Regions from separate parts of the Mus musculus genome. Here all the other regions are reported to be linked to region 2. The links are microRNA targets in miRTarBase. Many come from high-throughput screens and were not tested one by one. Region 2 holds a microRNA gene; each other region holds the end of a gene's coding sequence.
Evidence for each region. Region 2 holds the annotated microRNA mmu-miR-199a-5p (CCCAGUGUUCAGACUACCUGUUC, at 4,789-4,811, shown strand). A microRNA usually pairs through its seed, bases 2 to 8, with sites in the 3' UTR of a target mRNA and lowers its output. Matches are read on the target gene's strand: a 7mer-m8 pairs with bases 2 to 8, a 7mer-A1 pairs with bases 2 to 7 and ends in A, and an 8mer does both.

Region 1 (7,052 bases), not on the chromosome of region 2:
TAGGAGGTGTGAGCTGAAAACAAATCTCTTATGGCCTTGGGGACCAGAAGGGTCCCCTTCTCTTCTCAGAGTCACTGCCTTAGACCTAGGGACTCTCCTCCCTCACACTCGGGGCTCCCTCGTTCCTCGGACTAGGGACTCTTTCTTAGACCCTCGGCTCCACTCCTCCCTCGGACCCAGTGTCTTCCAAGGGACGTGCACCTGGTGCTCCGAGGAAGGCAGTGAGCTCAGCACGGTGGTAAAGTCGTTGGCAATTAAGCCAGCCGACACGATGCCCCAGCGCAGCGCCATTTTGCACGTCTTCTGCCTGCGGGGGCCGGAGGCGGGGCCAACGCCACCCCGCGCTGCAAGCCGCCCGCTTCCCTTTGACCCTCAGGACACGACCTCAGGACGTGAAACCGCAATCTCTCCACCCGTCTCCTCCTTCCCCTCCTCCCTGCGCCCGCCCTTCTCCCTCCCTCCTTCTCCTTCTCCTTCTTCTCAGTGCCTAACTCTTGCCCAAGCTGGCCTGCAATTCACAATATATATATATAGCCAAGGCTGCTTGCTGACCATAAACTCAAGGCAATCCTCCTGCCTCAGCTCCTTGAGTGCAGCAATACAGGCATACACCACCGTGCCTGTCTTTCAAGTTGCCTTTTTACTTTTTATTTTGAGATGGGGATTTGCTATTGTTATCAATTAGTCTGTGGGGCCCGGGCGTGGTGGCGCACGCCTTTGATCCCAGCACTCTGGAGGCAGAAGCCGGCGAATTTCTGAGTTCGAGGCCAGCCTGGTCTACAGAGTGAGTTCCAGGACTGCCAGGGCTACACAGAGAAACCCTATCTCGAAAAAAAAGCCAATAAAATAAAATAAAATAAAATAGTCTGTGGTCTCAAGAAAATGACCACAGGATCCAAAGTATTTCTGACAAAGCAAACGTTTTACTTCTGGAGAGGACCCAAGTTCTGTCCACTTGGCAGCTCGAAACCATCTTCCAGGATATCCAGTGCCGCCTTCTGTCCTCTGAGGGCACCAGGCATGCACATGGTGGGCATGCATGCATACAGACAAAACTCTTCAACGCATAAAATAAATTAGGAAGGAAGGAAGGAAGAAAAAGAAAATATGGAGGAGGAGGATTCCTTGGAACCAGAGTTGCAGGTGGCTGTGAGCCGTTCATTATATAGATGCTGGGAAGAACAGTAGATGCTCTTAACCTGAGCCCTCTCTCCACCCCCCAGATTATGTCTTTACAAGTCTCTTTAATGATGGAACTTGATTTATCTCACTTGCCGTCGAGAGGGGAAAGAATGTGCACCTTACTGATAATAGCTCCTCTTCACTTACAGCCCAGTTTCATTCTCTCTCGTCTGATCCACTGAACACTGACTGACTGTGCCCAGGTGTTCACAAGTCTCCTATTTAGTAAGGCATAGGAGGCTAATCAGTTATTGTGCTTAACTGATTGAACTAAGTGGCGGCGAGGCAACAGGGACTTTCAGCACTGGAGCGAGGGAAGCCAGGGCTGAGGTCACCTTCTCCTCCCATCTTCACGTAAGCCTTTGCCAGGAAAGACCGTTCCCTGTCACAGGCGCCACAGGTACACGTGCTTAAGATAGCAATCCTCCTGCCTCAGCTTCCCAAGCAGCTCGTACGGACAGGCCTGGATCACAGGCCTCAGAGCTGGTCCTGTGTCCTGTGACCCCTGGAGTTAGGGACAGAGTTGTCTTCCATGTCCTTCTGTTTCTTCTTGGCTTAGCCCTGGACCTCTCTGGGGGTCACTTTTCTGTTCTGGAGACTGAAGTCCCCACAGTTTCTACTTAGAAGAAAGTCTTAAGAGGATTAACTGAGTTCTATGGCCTATTATGTAAATATACTCAACCGGTTGGCAAAGTCTACCTTCACCAAGACTCCAATTTCCCTTGCCTGTAAGACCTTGGTAGCTGGAGGCGGTGCCCAGATTGTAAAAACCCCAAAGAGATCACCAGGAATCACAACCTGCTGTAATTGCAGGGTCTTTATTCAAGTTTGAGCTTAGGTCCCCAACCTTCTTGATGGAACAGGAAAGAGTGAAGCCTCTAAGTGAAGGGGGGTTATAAAGGAAAAAACCCCACAAGCAGGGTTTTCAAGCCGTGGCATTACAGGAGAGGATAAAGGAATGCCGCCCTCAAACCTGTAACATTTCTTCAGACGGGGGTGGGGGGTAGGGGGGTGGGGGGGGATCAGAACGGCACAGCTGGAAAGGGACCTTTCTGACCTGGGAAAAGTAACTTGTGCTGTTAGAAGCTGGTGCAGTTTTACAGCTGGCCACAGCTGTCTGGGAACACTTAATTGTCTCTTTTTCATCATCAAAGAGTGGGCTATTATCATTGCAAGGGTATTGGCTTATTTTTTTTTCAAGGGCAGGAGCCATCTGCACTGGAGAAATGTTGGTTGTTAATCAAATGAGTGTGAGTTTCAGTAACCTGGAGGCTAGGGTATGCTGCCTGTTCCCAAGGCTGGCATTTGCACTCGCGCGCGCGCACACACACACACACACACACACACACACACACACGAGGGGGGGTGTCAAGGGGAGGGAGTGCTAACTGCTCTGACTCCTCATGGGGTCAGGAGAGTGTAGGATTTGATGTGTAGGTTTCTTCAGCTGGCGGGATGACTCAGTAGTTAAGAACATGTGCTGCTCCTACAGAGAACCTGCATTTGGTTTCCAGCGTGTATCCACATTGCTCACAATCAACTGTAACTCCGGCTCCTGGGGATCTGATGCCCTCTCTGAATTCTGCGGACTCCTGCATTCTTATGGCATACACACAAAAACACACACATACTCAGAACTAAAAGTAAACCTTTTTTAAAAAAGGCTTAATGCAGGCAGGACTTGGTGGCACACACTTTTAATCATAGGATGCAATTGGCAGGTAGATTTCAGTGAGTTGAAGGCCAGCCTGGTCCACAGAGTTCCAAGGTCGCTGGAGCTGCACAGTGACAGCCTGCCTCGGAAAACAAAAAGCAAAACAAACAGAATGGGCCTTGGTGTGGGAGGAGCCGAAAAGCCCCACCCCTCCTGAGGCTCTCTAGGCAGTTGTTACTGAGAGAGAGAGTAGTATGTATATCTTTTTTCTCAGATGTAATTCTTGTTTTTTTGTTTGTTTTTGAGACAGGGTTTCTCTGTATAGCCCTGGCTCTCCTGGAACTCACTTTGTAGACCAGGTTGGCCTCGAACTCAGAAACCTGCCTGCCTCTGCCTCCCGAGTGCTGGGATTAAAGGCATGCACCACCTGTAGCTATTGTGTTGTATGGTGGGTTTTATTGTTTTGTTTTTCTCTCTAAATCACGTATGTGGTGCCATCTTGGGTAATAAGAATATATTTACTCAGAAGCCATGGCTGCTAACCAGGGGTAGCCAGGTCTAAGGTAATGAGCCTACAAGCACTTCCAGGTAGATAAAAAAGGGAAGAGCCACAAGACTGGTTCCTAAGACTCCAGCCATTACTCCTTTCTGTGAAACCACAGCTTCAGGTGATCTTGGGAGATTCAAGATAATATGGAGAGTGGGAGATAAGGGATGCACAGCTCCTGTGACATCAACGTGATGTGGTGAGACTTGGTCTGGGTGCAGCTGTTTATGCCCTTATGTAAATGAAGGCCTCCTAATTTCTTCAGAGACTGTCCCCATCCAAGATGAGGACAAAGCACCACAGGTAGCCACCATCCTGGTGTTCTCATGGCCACGGGAGGCCTCAAGACCAATGGGACTTGAGTGGGAAGCCGCATGGGCATGTGCTTTGGGGAGCAGTCTCCCACTGACAAAAAAGTCTGGATGTTGGTGCAGTCTGGAGTTGTCACAGCTATGTGGGATCATGGAGTTATGTCCCAGTAACTGACACAGAAGATAGGAGACTGGGACATTTCCTGTAATCCTGGCGCTGTCGCGCTGCACACACTGTGCAGGTCAGAGCACATGTTGAGACAGAACCTGTGGTTGAGGCTTGAATTGTGATCCCAGGGTGTGGCCTGCTTCTGCCTCCCTGTTGCTGGGGTCATAAGTAATACCTGGGTGACAAGAATCCAAACTGAGCTCCTCATGCCTGCACGAGCACTTTTCCAACTGAGCCATCTCCATGGCCCCTAAACATGTCTGGCTTGAACTCAAAGGACCCACCCACATCTCTCAGCCTCCCTGCCTGGTGTTTGGTCATTTTTTTGTTGTTTTTGTCTTTGGGCACAGGGCTTCATATAGTCTAGGTTGGCTTTGAACTTATAACACAGCCTAGGATGACAATGAACTCCTGATCTTCCTGCCTCTACCTCCCAAGCACTAGGATTACGGGCATTTATCCCTGTACCCCAGTTACGTGGACTGTGGGATACAGGGCCTCCGTCATGCTAGGCACACATTATGCCAACTGAGCCACAGACCCTTAATAATATATATTTTTAATTATTTAAGATAGTAAACTTTTTTTTTTCAAGCTCAGGTTTAGGTTTTCTGTTCCCATGGCAAAAATGAAGCAGCGAGGCCCTTGTGGCAAGAGCACACAGAAAGCCGCCTGGCAAGTCTCCTGGCAGGGAAAGTCATGTGCCCTAGGATACCAGGGAGGTGAGCAGGTGGCGTGCGTGCAGGCAGGGCTTGGAAGAGGGCAGGATATTCACACAGATACACTAATGTTTATTTGTGCCGGGCTATATTTGGATGGAACTGGGGCACAGAGCAGGACACAGCAGTGTGGCCTGAAGCCAGGGAAGTTGGTGAACCAATTTTCAGGAGCCCTGAGCAGGGTTGGACCTCAGCTAGGGGTGTAGCCATATCTGGGTACCTCCTGGGGCCATGGGGTAGGTATTGAGCCTGGGAGTTAGGGTAGGCTGATGGGGTGGTGGTAAAGGCCAGGAGTCCCAGGCAGAGCTGATAGCTACTTGAAGAACACCCCACATCCTGGTGGCCTCTAGCCACCAAAAGGAATTGAGATCATTGGCTCCACAGAAGGCAGAGTCAGAGACACTAAGCCAAGGTCCTGTGATCCAGTGACACTAGGTACAGGAAGCAGAGAGGCTGAGCCTGGAACAGAGAAGAGCAAAGTAGGCAGGTGGGCAGGCCTGGAGTGTGCACTCCAGGTGAGGTGAGCGAGCTCTCCTGCAACTTCAGCTCCTGTAGTTAATCCCTGACAGTGGAGGGAGGGAGCGAGAGAGGGAGGCAGAACCTGGACCCAGAGGCTGAGAGCAGAGAATGGTAGACCAGCAGAAGCACATCTGAGGAACAGGGTAGCCCCTGTTCTGCTCCCAGGAGGCCATGAGGGCGTTGGTCCCCAGGGAGGCTGCAAGGCCACTTCATCTGGCTTCCACACTGTCTGTGGGAACCTGAGGGCTGGGGTCTCTGAGGAGTTATAAATGCTGGGAATCCAGCTGTGGCAGCTCAGGGGGCTGCTCTGGGACCTTCTTCTCAGAAGCAGGCACATCTTTCTGGTCACCTGCTGGAGCTGGGACAGGAGCGTCATCTGCAGAGGAAACAGGAGAATGATGTTAGATAAAATTCCTCAACACGGGAAACAGGATTCTCAGGCCTCCTTCCTCAGCCTGAGACTCAGTCACGAATCCCCTGCTTCTGTCTTAGGGGCCTGGGACCCGGTCTTCCTCCTTCAGTGTCCAGGGCACAGAGCCGTACCTGTGTCTGCACGGAACTGCAGCTGCCCGTCAGGTTTGGAAGGCGGAGCGCTCTGTTCTTGCAGTTGCTGCTTCCTCTGCTCCATCTGCAGAACAGCCTGCAGGAGGCAGATGCACAGTCAGGAGGTTATGGCCCCAGGAAGATGCTATCTATAGCCAACTGCTAAGGGGCCACAGTCCCTTTTCTTCCCCATGGCCTTGGCTCCTCGTCACTGAGCTGGGATCCACACTAGTTAGGATTCCATTGTCTCCTGTCGTGGCTCAGGTGCTCCCACACTGAACTCTAGGCTCCCCTCACTGCCTCATGTAAAATGGCTGCCATGCACAGTCAGGCATGGAAAATCCTCTGCCCCTTTAATGACGGCAGCTATCACCTGCATGTATGTATCTAAGATTCCTAACATGGCAGCTACAGGCCATCCCACCCTGAAGATACCCATTTGGATAAAGAAAAGGGTCCTAAGAGAACCAGAGAATGGGCCCGAATTCCCCCACTGGTCACCTGCTGCAGCTCTCTCTTCTGTGCCTCCAGGCGGTCCTGGGAGCGCCCCAGGGCCTCTGTCTCCTGGCTGAGGCGCTGGGCCCTGGCATTCAGCTCAGCTTCCCGGGCAGCCAGCTCCTCTTCAAAACGCTTCAGCTCCTCCTCTGTGTAGGCTGGGGACATTTCCACTGTCTGCAGGGCACAGGACAGGGTCAGGCGATCAGTTAGGGCAAGCTCAGCCTCACTGAGCGGGAGAGGGGCGGAGGCTGGGGTGCATGTGTGTGCTACCTGACTGGAAACAGAGTGTTTGCTAAAGACTACAGAAAGAAGAACAGGGGTCTAGATAGGGAATGGCAGAATTCGGAACCAGAAGGAAGGGCAGGAGAGAGCCAGAGGTGCTGAAGGAAAGGCTGGACCCGGGAGACACTAAGGTCTGAGGGTTTCCCGTGTCCTCACCTTCCACCCCTCCCCAGTGTCCCCGAACTCCTTCCTCTGGGTGGATGCCAGGAACTCCTCCAGGGTCACAAGCCGGTCCTGGTTGGTGTCCACCTGGGGAGCCAGACCAAGGTTAGTGACTGTGCTGAGCCTGTTGTCCACTGCCCACCCTCCGCATGGCGTCTCTCACATTCTTCATCACGTGCTCCCGCATGCGAAGCCGTTCTTCCTCCATCTCTCTCATGTCATCCTCCTCATTCTTCGGGTCATACACCTTCTCCAGCTGCAGGGTGAAGGGAGAAGCGTGACACGCTGAGGGGCGCAGAACACCGCCACTCTTGGGGGACTTACCCCCCCCCCAGAGGACCAGTGGCGCCTGCTTCACTATTCATGGCTTCTTTGTCTCTAGGGGCTGCTGGGACTTACAGTTTTTCCTGCACCCTCACTGACAGGAAAGCAGAGGATAGGTTAGGGCGTAAGAGGCTGAAGTATG
Region 2 (7,052 bases):
CACCTTTTCCTTCTCTGGGTAGACCCCAGCACACAGGAACCCCTCACCTTTTCCTTCTCTGGGTAGACCCCAGCACACAGGAACCCCTCACCTGGTCCTTCTCTGGGTAGACCCCAGCGCGCAGGAACCCCTCACCTTTTCCTTCTCTGGGTAGACCCCAGCACACAGGAACCCCCTCACCTGGTCCTTCTCTGGGTAGACCCCAGCGCGCAGGAACCCCTCACCTTTTCCTTCTCTGGGTAGACCCCAGCACACAGGAACCCCTCACCTTTTCCTTCTCTGGGTAGACCCCAGCACACAGGAACCCCTCACCTGGTCCTTCTCTGGGTAGACCCCAGCGCGCAGGAACCCCTCACCTTTTCCTTCTCTGGGTAGACCCCAGCACACAGGAACCCCCTCACCTGGTCCTTCTCTGGGTAGACCCCAGCGCGCAGGAACCCCTCACCTGGTCCTTCTCTGGGTAGACCCCAGCGTGCAGGAACCCCCTCACCTGGTCCTTCTCTGGGTAGACCCCAGCACACAGGAACCCCTCACCTTTTCCTTCTCTGGGTAGACCCCAGCACACAGGAACCCCCTCACCTTTTCCTTCTCTGGGTAGACCCCAGCACACAGGAACCCCTCACCTGGTCCTTCTCTGGGTAGACCCCAGCACACAGGAACCCCTCACCTGGTCCTTCTCTGGGTAGACCCCAGCGCGCAGGAACCCCCTCACCTGGTCCTTCTCTGGGTAGACCCCAGCACACAGGAACCCCTCACCTTTTCCTTCTCTGGGTAGACCCCAGCACACAGGAACCCCCTCACCTTTTCCTTCTCTGGGTAGACCCCAGCACACAGGAACCCCTCACCTGGTCCTTCTCTGGGTAGACCCCAGCACACAGGAACCCCTCACCTGGTCCTTCTCTGGGTAGACCCCAGCGCGCAGGAACCCCTCACCTGGTCCTTCTCTGGGTAGACCCCAGCGCGCAGGAACCCCCTCACCTGGTCCTTCTCTGGGTAGACCCCAGCGCGCAGGAACGAAGCCTTCCAGCTGTCCACATCTTCCTGGGAGTCACAAGCCAGTTCAATCTGTCGAAGGTCCTTGTAGACATTCCTGGAGTGAGTGGTAGAGGGACTTGACTGGCCACTAAGACCATGGGCTCTGGGGGCTCTCTGCCTGATCTGGGTACGAAGGTGGTTCTAGTACCTTCCCTAGTTTGTTAAGAGGTTTCTGGGTGTGTCTGCCAGGTATACTATAGCACCAAGTACCGCACACAGTCCAGCTCTGGCTTTGGATCGCCCACTGAGGTGTGGAGACACTGAGGTGTTTGTAAGGAAGACCACAGCAACAATGTCTACCAGAATATCCTATAGCAGCAGGAATAGACTCAGCCTACACTGTCTGCACTGTCGAGCCCTGAGTAAGTGCATGGGTGTATGTGCATGCAGAGGTCAGAGGTCAGCACCAGACGCCCTTCCTCACTTTATCTGAGCACCTCACTCTTTTAGACAGGGTCTGTCTCACTGGCCCGAAGCTCACAGACTTGCCTAGACCGGTCAGCAGGTTTAGCGGGCACCGAGGATCCTGCTTTCTGCCTCCCCAGCACCCTGCCAGACGTTTCCTTGTACTGTGTGTGAGTGTTGTGTGTATGTGAGGGTTGTGTGTGTGAAGGTTGTATGTGTGTGAGGATTGTATCGTGTGAGGGTTTTGTGTGTGTGTGTGTGAAGACTGTGTGTGTGAAGGCTATGTTTTTGTGAGGATTATGTGTGTGAGGGTTGTGTGTTTGTGTGAGGGCTATGTGTGTGTGAGGATTGTGTGTGAGGGTTGTTGTGTGTATGAGAGTTGTATGTGTGTGAGGGTTGCACTGAGGCCCTCATGCTTACTGCATCCATGTCAGTTGTCTGTCCATGTTGCTCCGCCCACACCACACAGGAATGTCCCTGGGATAGCTCTGTGCTAGGCAAGACCCTGGCAAAGGGCCTGCTGGGCTGGCTCTTCCTCACCTCTGCTCTGTGTTGAAGATGGCAAACACGTGCTTGTTGGACATGAAGCCCTTTTCCACGTCCCGGATCTTGAGGTTGTCCAGTGGCAGCATGTACTTCTTTTCTTTCTCCTGAGGAGAGAGGGCAGGGGTCTCACCTGAGCTGCCGGGGCAGAGCCAGCAACAATCTGACAGCCACTGCCAACACCCGGCACTTGGTGTGCTGAGAGCTCTGTCACCCCACATTTACTCAAACGTCCCCTTGTTGTTTTTTGTTTGTTTTTTGTTTTTTTCGAGACAGGGTTTCTCTATATAGCCCTGGCTATTCTGGAACTCAACTCTGTAGACCAGGCTGTCCTCGAACTCAGAAATTCGTCTGCCTCTGCCTCCCAGGTGCTGTTTTTGATTTTTTGGTCAAACGTTCCCTTAACATTCTCTCTCATCCCAGGACCTGTGTACGGACCGACCCCGTCCAGACTGTTCTTGTCCCTACACCCTGTACTGCCCCCCTCCTGGCCTTCCTAGGTCTATATGCAGAAGGTCCCTCAGGGCTGACCTCATGCCACCCTACTACAGATGCTATGATGACTGCCTACCACCTGGCTGGTCCAGCAGTTGCCAGAAAGGAAGGCTGTCAGCTTTGTTTTTGATCCAGAGAACACACATGCAGTGGTCACTCAGACCTCACAGCCCTAACTTCATGCCTTCCCAGGTGGCTCTCCCCATTATCTGAGTTATGGCGGCAATCACTCACAGGGAGGGAGACTGGCGCGCAGGAGGCTATTTCAGACGCCAGGCCTGGGAAACTGATGCCTGGGCACCACTGTCACAGGAGCGTCAGTGGCTTTGCTACTCCATGCATGCCTGACAAGCGCTCTAGCGACCCAAGCCGGGGACGGAACCCAGGGTCTCTCTCAGGCAAGCACGATGCTGGCCGTGCAGGCAACACTCCTCCTCCTCCTGCTTTTGAGACAGGCCTTCCATGAAGTTGTGTTCCTCCTGCCTCCCAAGGAGCCATAACAATAGGCCTGTGACACTTTTCCTTCCTCTTCTATTTTTGGTTTTCTGAGACAGGGTTTCTCTGTATACTCCGACTGTCCTGGAACTCACTCTGTAGACCAGGCTGGCCTCGAACTCAGAAATCTGCCTGCCTCTGCCTCCCAAGTGCTGGGATTAAAGGCATGTGCCACCACTGCCCAGCTTTTTTTGGGGGGGGGGCACTTTTCCTTCTGTCTGCTCAGATTAGGAAGCTGTCTGTCCAGCACAGAGCAGGGACACTGTGTAACTAACCTAAGAATGGTTGTAGATGACAACAGCTCACTGGGGATTTTCTGCACCACACAGACTTTTTTTTTTTTTTCCAGAATAAAGTCTCCTATAGCCCAGGGTAGCATTCAATTCCCTATTCAGCTGAAGATGAGCTGAATTCCTGATCCTCTCGCATCTTGCTCACCAATGCTGTAAGGAGTTACCGCTTGAGCCATGAGTCACACCCAGTTCATGAAGCACTAGGAAAAGCTCCAACAACTGAGCTGGGCCTCAGCCCATCACCTGGACATGTCCTCCTGTGTGTGTCATGTGCAACACACTGAGGAGAACCAAGAGGCCTTCATGGGGAAGATGATGTTTACTTCTGTGAGACAAGTGCTTTTACTAAACCTGGAGCCAGCAAGCCCCAGCCTCCTCCTCTTTGCACACCTAGTGCTGAAGTCCCAGGCACTCACAGCACCCATGGGTGCGCAGGTGCGTAAGTACTCTTCCCCACAGAGCACTCTCTCCAGGCTCACTGGAGATCCTTCATGACTCTTTCTCATGTTTCTGTCCACTGCACGAACAGAAAGTCCCAGAAAGCAGCTTTGTGGAATACAATTCTGAATTCCCCCGTAGCTCTAGTGCAGAATGGGGCCAGTCTGAACACTGTATGAGGAACTGCTGTGTTCAAGCTTTGCTCTGCCTTTGAACACACTGCTTCTCCTCTGCGTTCCCGATCCCCATCTGTCTGAGGAATGATGAGTGTTACTCTTGGGGAGGGTGGCACAGTTGTGGCCCCAGTTTCCAGCCAATTCATGGACTGGCTCCCAGTCAACCTCACCAGGTCTGACTGCCTGAATGAAGCACAGGCGGAGAGGCTGTGAGCAGGGAGTGTGGAACACTCGCACACACGCGCACGCGCGTGCGCGCGCGCACACACACACACACACACACACACTGCATACCGAGAGCTCCAGACAGGGAAGGCGGCCTGAAGTCTGTCTTGTTATAAGAAACAAACCTGGGATTTTGGGGATCCCCAAAGGAGCCTCTGTTTCCAGAGGAGGGTAAGTTCCCAGAAGCAACTCTGTGGCCCCTACCCTATGGTGTCACGAGACAGAAAGCTTCCTGCCAGCAGGCCAGGGCCAAGTAAATGAGTCACAGACATCTAGGCTTGCCACATCTGGAACTGTTTATGTGTGATTCTGCCCAGGATCGGGTGGCTGCCATCTCTCTCTCTCTCTCTTTCTCTCACACGCACGCACACACACACACACACACACACACACACACACACACACACACACACACGAGCATACGCATGCGCTTGCTCGCAAAGTATGCAACTGCACAAGGACCTCCTTCTGCGGCACGGGCCATCGACCCAAGCCCTCCTCCAGCCTGCTTTCGGATTTCCTGAAAATCTCAACTTTCTCCAGATGTGAGCAAGTGGCCTTGGCCTTGCCACGTCAGAAGAGTTCAGGGTGCGTGGATGAACTGAATGGAGGATCTTGGGAGGAGCAGACTCCCTGGCCTGTACCATGGCCACGCTGAGGAACTGAACAGCCATCCCCGCCATCCCAGTGTTCAGACTACCTGTTCAGGAGGCTGGGACATGTACAGTAGTCTGCACATTGGTTAGGCTGGGCTTGGGCCAGCAGCAACAGTGGGAACTTCCAGACCACCTAAGGTGAGTGCTACCTCTCTCCACTGGGGAAGATTCTGGGAGGAGGGTGGAAAAAGTAGGCCCAGGACTGAGCGAGCGCTGGGGTGGGGAGGGATGTCCTCAGGTGAACTGGGCCTTTCTCCTTATTTCCAACGACACTGTTATCTTCTGGTTTACTCCTAAAATAAAGAAAAGTCCCCTGCTGGTCTTTATCTTGGGCTTGTCTACAAGAGTGGTCTGGGTCTCAGGGATGGCTGCTACCTGGGATACTTAGGTCCCTTACCAGGACCATTAAAGGTGTCAGGGTCTCCACAGCCCCTAGATCTCAGTGAGCTTCATCTTTGGCATACATACAGAGGGCTCCTTTCATACCTCTTGGTGGTGGTGTGGCCCTGCTACAGGCCTTGTCTACAGTGAGGCCCAAGTGCCTGCTTTCTGTCTCCAGATGAGGGGAATTGGAATGGTCATTCCCAGTCCAAAGGAAGAAGCTTGTCAGCTAGGCCCAGGGCTACGCTCCTCTGCAATGAACCTTGAAAACACACACACACACACACACACACACACACACACACAGAGTCTGCCCAGCTTTCAGGTTACTTTTCTTACAGCTGGAGCTGGAAACTCAACACTGGGTGCCTCATTCTGGGGGATAATCCCAGAGTCTTTGTTATGCTAAAAAATATGGCCAGGTCAGAGCCAGGCATGGTGGCGCATACCTTTAATCCCAGCACTTGGGAGGCAGAGGCAGGCTGATTTCTGAGTTTGAGGCCAGCCTGGTCTACAAAGTAAGTTCCAGGACAGCCAGGGCTACTCAGAGAAACCCTGTCTCAAAAAACCAAAACCAAAACCAAAACAAACCAACAAACCAAAAAACCAACAACAGCAGAAACTAGACCAGGGAAGTCTGGCCTTGGGGTGACACTTACACCACTTCAGGGCCAGGGTGCTGGCCAGCTCCTAAGATGGGAATGGAATGTGCATGGACAGGTCACATATGGTACCACACTGAGTCCTTGTGTCCCTTTGGTGCACTGGTGTGTGTGTGGGTCTCTCCTACATGGTGGCTGGAACACCCTACAGAGGTGACTGCTGGTACAGGCCACCAGAGCACATGTTGGGAGCCTGGCCCTGACTAGGATGCCCCCTCAGTTCCCATCCAGCAGCAGAGAACTGAGGCCAGGGTCTCTCCTTCAGACGGAAGTCCTCCTGATAAAACCTCACTGTAATGCAGGCTGCCCTTGAACGAGCTATGTTAGTGAAGGAGCCTGCTGAGTGTGGGCATCGCAGGCACGCATGCGATGCTAAGTGGGGATGGGACCAAAGGTTCCGTGCATGCTAAGCTACACCACCACGGCCCCTGGCTTGCTTTCCTGTTTCTTCTTTTGTGTGGGTGTATACTCAAGTTTGTGTGTAGGCACATACTCATGCAAGTGGATCTGGAAGACAGAGAACCACTTGAGGTGTCATCTCTCAGGCGCTGCGCTCTGGCTTTTTGAGTCAGGTCTCTTATTTGCCTGGAGCCTGTCAAGGAGGCAAGCCTGGCTGGCCAGCAGGCACTGCCTGCGGAGCCTGCTGGGAATACGAGCGCCCTTCACGCCTCCCTTTTCTCTTAGGTTCTGGGATGAGTCAGAGCTCCCGTGGCAGGATAAGCATGTTACCAGCTGGACTGTCTGACAGGGGCACTTCCTACATAACTTGGACAGGCCTGGACCTTACCACTGGTGCTGGGTCTCAGCACGTCAGCATGCCTGACTGTAAACTCCCTTTCTCAAGTGACTGGGGGAATGGGGTAATCAGTCTGGGGACCACCTCCCTTGCCTACCTTATCAGGCCACCCTTGTCCCCAGCTGCTTACCTCCTCATCCTTGTACCAAGACAATGACTCAGCTGTCAGCACGAACCAGTACTCCTTGGAGCCACCCTTCATCAAGCTGATATTGTTGATGGTCAACCAGCCCCTGCGGATCACCTGGTGGAGAGGCCTCAGCTTAGCAGGGAGGACAGCCCTGCTGCTCCACCCACCCCCTCCTCCCCAGTAAGGATAGAAGCCTGGCTCTGTGGCAGCAATACCTCCACCCCAGCCAGGATCCTAGTTCCATGTCAAGCCAAGCATTCCCAGCTAGGAATCAGACAGGGAGCCGGGACCGCTGTGGGGACGGATGCAGACAGTCGGAGGG
Region 3 (7,052 bases), not on the chromosome of region 2:
ATTATTTCAGGACTACTTACTTCATAGACTTCCTGGGGTCTCTCTTCTGCCAGAAATGACAGTGTCTATATCTTCCCTCTTGCCATTACAATCTCTTTTGTTGTCCTAAAAAATGCTTCATGACCCAAATCTGAGGATGTGTATTATCTTGAATAGAAGGCAATATAATGAATACAATGGGCTATAAATAGGGAATATAACTGTGAGATGTTAACTAAGGAGTTGAATTCATGTTCTCATAGGCTGACTAGCTGGCTGAAAATAGGTCAGCATCCTCTTTAGTGATGAATAAACTTAGTCTGCTTCCCCCAGGTTCAGATCCTTGTGCATGGGTCCAGGAAACAAAGAACTGCATTTTACTTTGGGATGAGACACTGGCATTTCCTCCTTGATTAGTTTCCCTTCCCTTTGTGGAGTAAATGAAGGTGGGGAGTGATTGGATAATTTCCCCTCAGCACCTTCCCATGTAACTATGTGACATCTTTTTTTCTTTAAAGGGTGATTCGGCAGCCAGTAGGCAGGATTTACTTTGCAGGCACAGAGACAGCAACACAGTGGAGTGGCTACATGGAAGGTGCAGTTGAAGCTGGAGAACGAGCAGCTAGAGAGGTAAGGAAGGAAACTAAGGTGTACTCCTTTTTCAATTGTAATTTCATCATGGGCAGCAGTACTGGGAATTGAACTGAAGGTGGCATGCATGAGAGGTATGGGTTATTCCAGTGAGCTATAGCTCCAGCCCTATAAGAAACATTTTTGTCATCTGATCTTTCTGATTATTTTATCTTTACAGAAAGATAAAATATACAGAAAGAAACTATACAGAAAGAAACTAGATATTTGGGCTATTTCATTGACACAATTGTGCACATATGTGGAGTACACAAAATTTTGATGCCTGTGTGTAGTATACAGTGGTCAAATCAAGATCATTATCATCTCCTTCACATCATATATCTATCATTTCTTTGAAATATTCAAATCCTTTCTTCTAGCTCTTTGGAATTACATAGTAAATTGTGATTATCTTTAGTAACCCATTCTATTGCTATAGAATGTTAGAATTTATTCCACCCAATGAATTATATTTTGATATTTATTATCCAGTCCCAGTAGCCTTACTCTCTGGTACATTTCTTAGCTTCTGGTACCCTCTGTTGTTTTCTCCATTTCTATAGGATCCACTTACTTGCCTTCTGTGTATAATGGATAGCATGTACTATTTGTCTTTCTAAGCATGGCAGATTTCATTTATGATTGTGTTGTCCTCTAAACTCATCCATGTTGTCACATTGACAGGATTTCACTCTTATTTAAAACTGAATAATCTTTCATTGTATATGAATAACAAAATTTCTTTATCCATTCATGCATCTATTTCTTGATACTGATAGTCTATGTATGCTATGTATGCATTTCTTTGCCACCCACCTGTGGGTTCACCAATGTTTAATATGATTTTGAATCTGTTAACAGTATATAATGTCACAGTATAATGCTGTAATCACTTTCTTTCAGGTCTTGAATGCTCTAGGAAAAGTTGCCAAGAAGGATATATGGGTTCAAGAGCCTGAGTCCAAGGTAAGTTTGATTACTCCATATCTACAGACCAACTACAGCACATAAAATTGCACTGTCCTTCATTTAGCCTCTGCTTTTACTATAGATGCAACTGTCTTAGCATAGAAATACATACTACTACAGATAGGCTTTGTTTCTTTTAACTATAGCAAGAATTTCTATTAATGATCTGTGTTCATCTGTTTAGGATGTTCCAGCTCTTGAAATTACCCACACCTTCTTAGAGAGGAACCTGCCTTCCGTGCCTGGTCTGCTCAAGATCACTGGTTTTTCCACTTCTGTGGCTCTTCTCTGCTTTGTATTGTACAAGTTTAAACAGCCCCAGTCCTGAAGTTTTCACCCACAGGCCTCCTGCTTGATCATCCTTAGCACAATGAGCATGTAAAGGAAAGTGAGGATGAATTACAGCCTGTGGTTTGGGCAATTTAAGTGCACTTGATTTAACCCTGCTCAGTTTAATTTCAGTCTTTGTAAAGTGGTAACAGTCCAAAGAATCACCTAGCTAATTTCCATAAGAATGAGTTTCATCTTGTTTGTTAGACTAATTTGTGTTGGTTGATAGAATAAAATGTTGAGTGCTTAATTTCAAAAAGTTAAGTGCTTATGAGGAATAATTTCTGGATTCTGTTTTTTTTTTTCTTTTGCCTTTAATGCAAAACAGCTAATGGTTTCAGAAATAAAATAACTTGACTTACTGTGACTTTTGTGTAGCATCCAATGTGTACAGAGGAAAATAGTGGCTGAAATGTTCCCTAGGTATCCTCACTGATTACTAGTTCCATGTGACGCACACTACAATAGGCACTTCCTTTTCTGGACTGTATCTAGACAAGCATTGCTCCTTGTCAGTAACATTCTGTGCTGATTTAAGGAAAGTAGCATTATTTTAATGTGTTCTATGGCTGTCTGATCATAGAATTAGATTTCTAAGCCTACCTGTGTCTTCAAAATGGTTAAATATTTGTCTTGGTTGATAGTATACCATTTTCTCTCAAGTGCCAAAGGACATATGAAATTTTCTCTGTTGTTACAGTCAAACACAGAATGAAATTAGGGCTCTGTGTGATAACATGACCTCTTTTAATTATTAGGTTTTATAACAGACATTAAATTGAATGATTTTATATATCTGTACTGGGTTCTATATCTTAGTAGAGTTGTGGGTCCAGAATGGTGCCTGTATTTTTTTCTTTCCCATCTGAAATCCTGTCAATTAAAAAAAAAAATTCCAAAGGTTTCAACCACAAAGCACTTTAAAAAAAAATGTAAGTATAGTTTTTATTTAAGGAGAATTATGTCAGCATATGCTGGCCAACCCAAGTTTATTATACTAGCTTTATCCAAAATGTAAATTTAAGCCTCTAGATGCTGATGTGTGGACTTACAGCCTTTAAAGTTTTGCCCAGTCTAAGAGCAAAGATCTAGATTTCTTACCTTACTCTATCTTATAATTCAAAAGCATTTTAACTAACTTAAAAGATTCAGTGATGTCTTAGATGTTCTCCAGTCCATAAGGTGTTGCCTCAATTCATATCAAACTGTAGTGAGAGCTCTCAGCACTAATCTGCTCCAGTTGTGTGTATTAACTTAGTCGTGACTCATCTTGAAATGATTTAAAGGAGTGGATAGGCAAGAGGTCTAAAAGTATTCAGATTGTTAACACTAAACTGTTGAATATTGAAAACCTCCTGAGTTTGCAGTTTACTCTCTGCTTTTTAGAAAACCAGTTGATCTATCCTAATGATATCAACCCTATTAAGCTACAGTCTGGGTATTAAAATGATTTCCAGTACAGCCCATGTGTTTAGACATGTAACGGGAATTAAGAAGCACTATATGTTTCCAATTCTAAGAAGGGGCAAAGTGTCCACACTTTGGTCTATGTTCTTCTTCAGTTTCATGTGTTTTACAAATTGTCTCTTATATCTCGGGTATACTAAGTTTCTGGGCTAATATCCACTTATCAGTGAGTACATATCATTTGAGTTCTTTTGTGATTGTGTTACCTCACTCAGGATGATGCCCTCCAGGTATAACCATTTGCCTAGGAATTTCATAAATTCATTCTTTTTAATAGCTGAGTAGTACTCTAGGTGCAACAACATTATGAACTAACCAGTACCCCAGAGCTCTTGACTCTAGCTGCATATGTATCAAAAGATGGCCTAGTAGGCCATCACTGGAAAGAGAGGCCCATTGGACACTCAAACTTTATATGCCCGAGTACAGGGGAACGCCAGGGCCAAAAAGTGGGAGTGGGTGGGTAGGGGAGTGGGGGAAGGGTATGGGGGACTTTTGGGATAGCATTGGAAATGTAATTGAGGAAAATACGTAATAAAAAAATTAAAAAAAAAAGTAGCACTATATGTGAGGCTGTCTACCACAAAGTTAACATTGCCCTTTACTTTGCAACAGAGAAACAAAAATCATTTCAAGAGATTGATAATCCCCTTCATAGATCTGATGGCCAGTTGGCCTTTCTCCATAGTTAGGATGAGAATTGGTTTTTTAAAAGTACATCTTTTTGTCATAGCTGTTAAATATGATCTCATATTACACTGAATAAATTTAAACTTTACTGAAGGACTGTGAACTATGTTTTGCTTGATGGTTGTAAACTTGGTACCTAATGTTCCACGTAAAAATAAAGTTGGCCACAGAGCTACATATGGGCATATGCATATGTATTTGATTTGCCACTGAAGTAAGATATTGTCTGTGTGGTACTGAGTTTTGTTGTTGTTCTTAATAAAATGTGATGCCATCCTTCATTCAGATAGGCTTCTCTGATTTGGCTAATAGTTTATCAAAAGCTTCAAATGGCTTCTTATTGCCAGAAGTCTACAGAGGATGAACTTTTTAAAAGCACCTGATAATGCAACTCCAAATTCTTAACACTTGGTTTGATCTTCATGTAATGAAGGTTGACTGGGAATAGATCAAATGCTATAATACTATAGTAGGCCTGACTGGGCCACAGGTGTGGATTTTGACAAGTTTTCTCACCTAACTACCTTACGATGCCTTGGGAAAATCATTTGGTTTCTCTGCCTCAATTTACTCATGTGTGGAAAGACAGTCCTGTGCTTGATATCGTCTATGTGATTAATGTATTCTATTGCTAGCATTATTTCTTATCACTTTTTGGATTTCCTAGGAATAGACCAAGATGCTGAAAGTTTGCTAGAGACAGCATCCTAAAAAGGATGAGGAAGGTAAGTTTGTGCAGAGGACAGTCAGTGTGCAATGCAGTTGCAACTGAAAACTCAGCACATTCGAATGGGAAGGTAGTAAGGTTGTTAAGACTTCCCTTCACCCCCTATCAAGGCAAGATCTAGGTTTTAGTCCTTCTATCAGATACTCTATGGAAGGGAGTGTGATTACAGACAAGACAGGTCCAGAAACAATTTGTAATCAGAACCTACAACTGCAATTTTCAAGTCCTAATGAGAAATTGGGATCAGCCTGTCTTCGCAGCAGCTGGGGATGCAGGATGTCATTTTCTGCAAGACAATCTAGTTCTGCAAAGCACAGAAAATAACTTTGTCAAGTATAAGCCATTTTGGACTTGAACTTTGAGTAGTGTCACTATCTCTATGAACCTGTCCCTATTAAAGAGAAGGCTTTATTTCTGCATTATTTTTTATAAAGGAAAAAACAAGTTTAAAGGAACCCTGAAAATGACTTAAAGGATAACCCTACCTACACATTACTAGCAAAAATCAAAGGGAAAAATATATGCTTACAACTGGCCTCTTTGGGTAGAGGAAATGCCTAGCCTCACTGAGACTTGAAGTGCCAGGGTGGGGATACCCAGAGGGACTCTTACCCACTCAGAGGAGGAGAGATGGGGAAAGTATTGTGTGAGGAGGTGACCAGGAGTGGGGCAGTGAGTGGGATGTAAAGTGAATAAATAAAAAATAAAGTTAAATTTAAAAAATTTAAAAAGACCCAAATAGTTGTCCGCAATAATCAGCTAAAAGTGAATAGCAAGCATGAGAGACCTTATAGAGAAGTAAAGACTAGATGACCTAGGAGTTATGTGTCATTCTGAAAGGTAAGAATTCCTTTTGATAATTGCAGGCCAATTAAAGGTGCTGCTAAAAATTTGCTTGATATGACTAAATTGTTCTTGGGTTCCTGATTCTTTTTTTAAAAATCCAGTTTATACCACCTGAATGCCAAATTGTTTTTGGATGCTTTACCCACTGAGGAAGGAACCACAATACCAGCAATCATTGAGTAAAATTACCAGGAGTGGGTAAAAGAAGATCAAACAACAAACCAGAAAACATAGCAATAGCCCTCTTTAGTGACAGCCCTAGCAACACTTCTTCTGTTCGTATGTCCTGCCCATACAGGCATATCCACATAGCCATGTCATGGCTGGCAAGAGCAGTGCCAGACATCATGTGGGGAAAGGCGTGGAGAGAATTCTCATCATTCTATAGAAACTACCCGTTTGATCTGTGCTGACTGATACAATTCTAGTAAACAGGACAACAATGTGAAATAGGTTAAGTCTGAAACTAATGCGGTTCACAGTACAGAAAGAATCCATAAAGAATCCTTAGACAGAAGAACCTGGTGATTCCTCAAAAGGAGGGCACTTTGTAACAACAGTTTTTTCCCTCTCACATGGGGCTTTTGTTCCCTTTGGCAAGGCCTTTTTTTTTTTTTCTCGTCTAAAGATAAGGCAGGACGACTCAAGTGATAACTCTGTGTGTGTGTGTGTGTGTGTGTGTGTGTGTGTGTTTGAATCAGAGTGATTGATTAAACTGGAGTCAAATTTCTGAAGGTAGCTTTGGAGGCCTCATGCAAAAACTTTGGATAAAGGATACTTCTAGACCTCCCTTAAGTCATGTGTAAGCATTTTGCCTACTGACTTAAATTCTTTTACAGTCACACCTCTGTGTGAAACAGCTTTTCCTATTAATGAGCATAAGATATTTCTCATGAACCACTGAAATTCATAAATGGAATGGGGAAGAATGAAGTGGTATGGCATGGGTGTATACTGGGGGAAGGGAATGCTGATTGAGGATGAAAGGAGAATGGGAAAGATGCTTAAACATCCATGGAACATCACACTAATTCTTGTGCGCACCCGACTCGACCAGCAAGAACTATGCTGCAACAGGATCCTTCTGCACATGTTTATTGGGAGAGCTTGATTGCAGAGGCGAATTGACCCGAGCCCAGAACTGGTGCTGCTTATATAGGCCTAGGAGAGGCGTGTCTCACACCCGGATTGGTTATGCACTAAGCCTCATTTGCATGTTCCTCATCTGATTGGCTACTCTCTCTGTACCTCACAGAGCCTCATTATCATACCTCATTTGCATGTCTCACATCTGATTGGTTATACTCTCAAAGCCTCATTATCATGCCCGGGCCAGGCAGTGTCTTTGCAAAAAACTTTACTGCATATGTACACATTGGTTGTTTGTCCAAACTTATGCGTGGTGGACAGC

Region 1: miRTarBase lists Nucb1 as a target of mmu-miR-199a-5p. Seed matches in the 3' UTR shown: 7mer-A1 at 5,004-5,010.
Region 3: the mRNA of Maoa is a reported target of mmu-miR-199a-5p. Seed matches in the 3' UTR shown: 7mer-A1 at 3,756-3,762.

What each region holds. Positions count from the first base shown.
Region 1 is chr7:45,488,473-45,495,524 of GRCm38, forward strand. It overlaps Nucb1 (nucleobindin 1), which reads right to left. Exons shown (of 13, transcript NM_001163662.1): 9 at 6,750-6,842; 10 at 6,581-6,673; 11 at 6,146-6,316; 12 at 5,645-5,741; 13 at 4,202-5,477. The coding sequence ends at 5,365. It overlaps Dhdh (dihydrodiol dehydrogenase (dimeric)), which reads right to left and starts at 333. Exons shown (of 7, transcript NM_027903.4): 1 at 202-333. The coding sequence starts at 291. It also overlaps a transcript of Tulp2 not described here.
Region 2 is chr9:21,494,296-21,501,347 of GRCm38, reverse strand. Mir199a-1 (microRNA 199a-1) reads left to right here and starts at 4,784; the gene lies at 4,784-4,853. It overlaps Dnm2 (dynamin 2), which reads right to left. Exons shown (of 21, transcript NM_001253893.1): 15 at 6,731-6,844; 16 at 1,981-2,090; 17 at 979-1,090.
Region 3 is chrX:16,683,467-16,690,518 of GRCm38, forward strand. Maoa (monoamine oxidase A) reads left to right here. Exons shown (of 15, transcript NM_173740.3): 13 at 498-609; 14 at 1,516-1,578; 15 at 1,766-4,346. The coding sequence ends at 1,909. Among named protein-coding and RNA genes, the nearest start is that of Maoa, 67 kb to the left of the region's middle.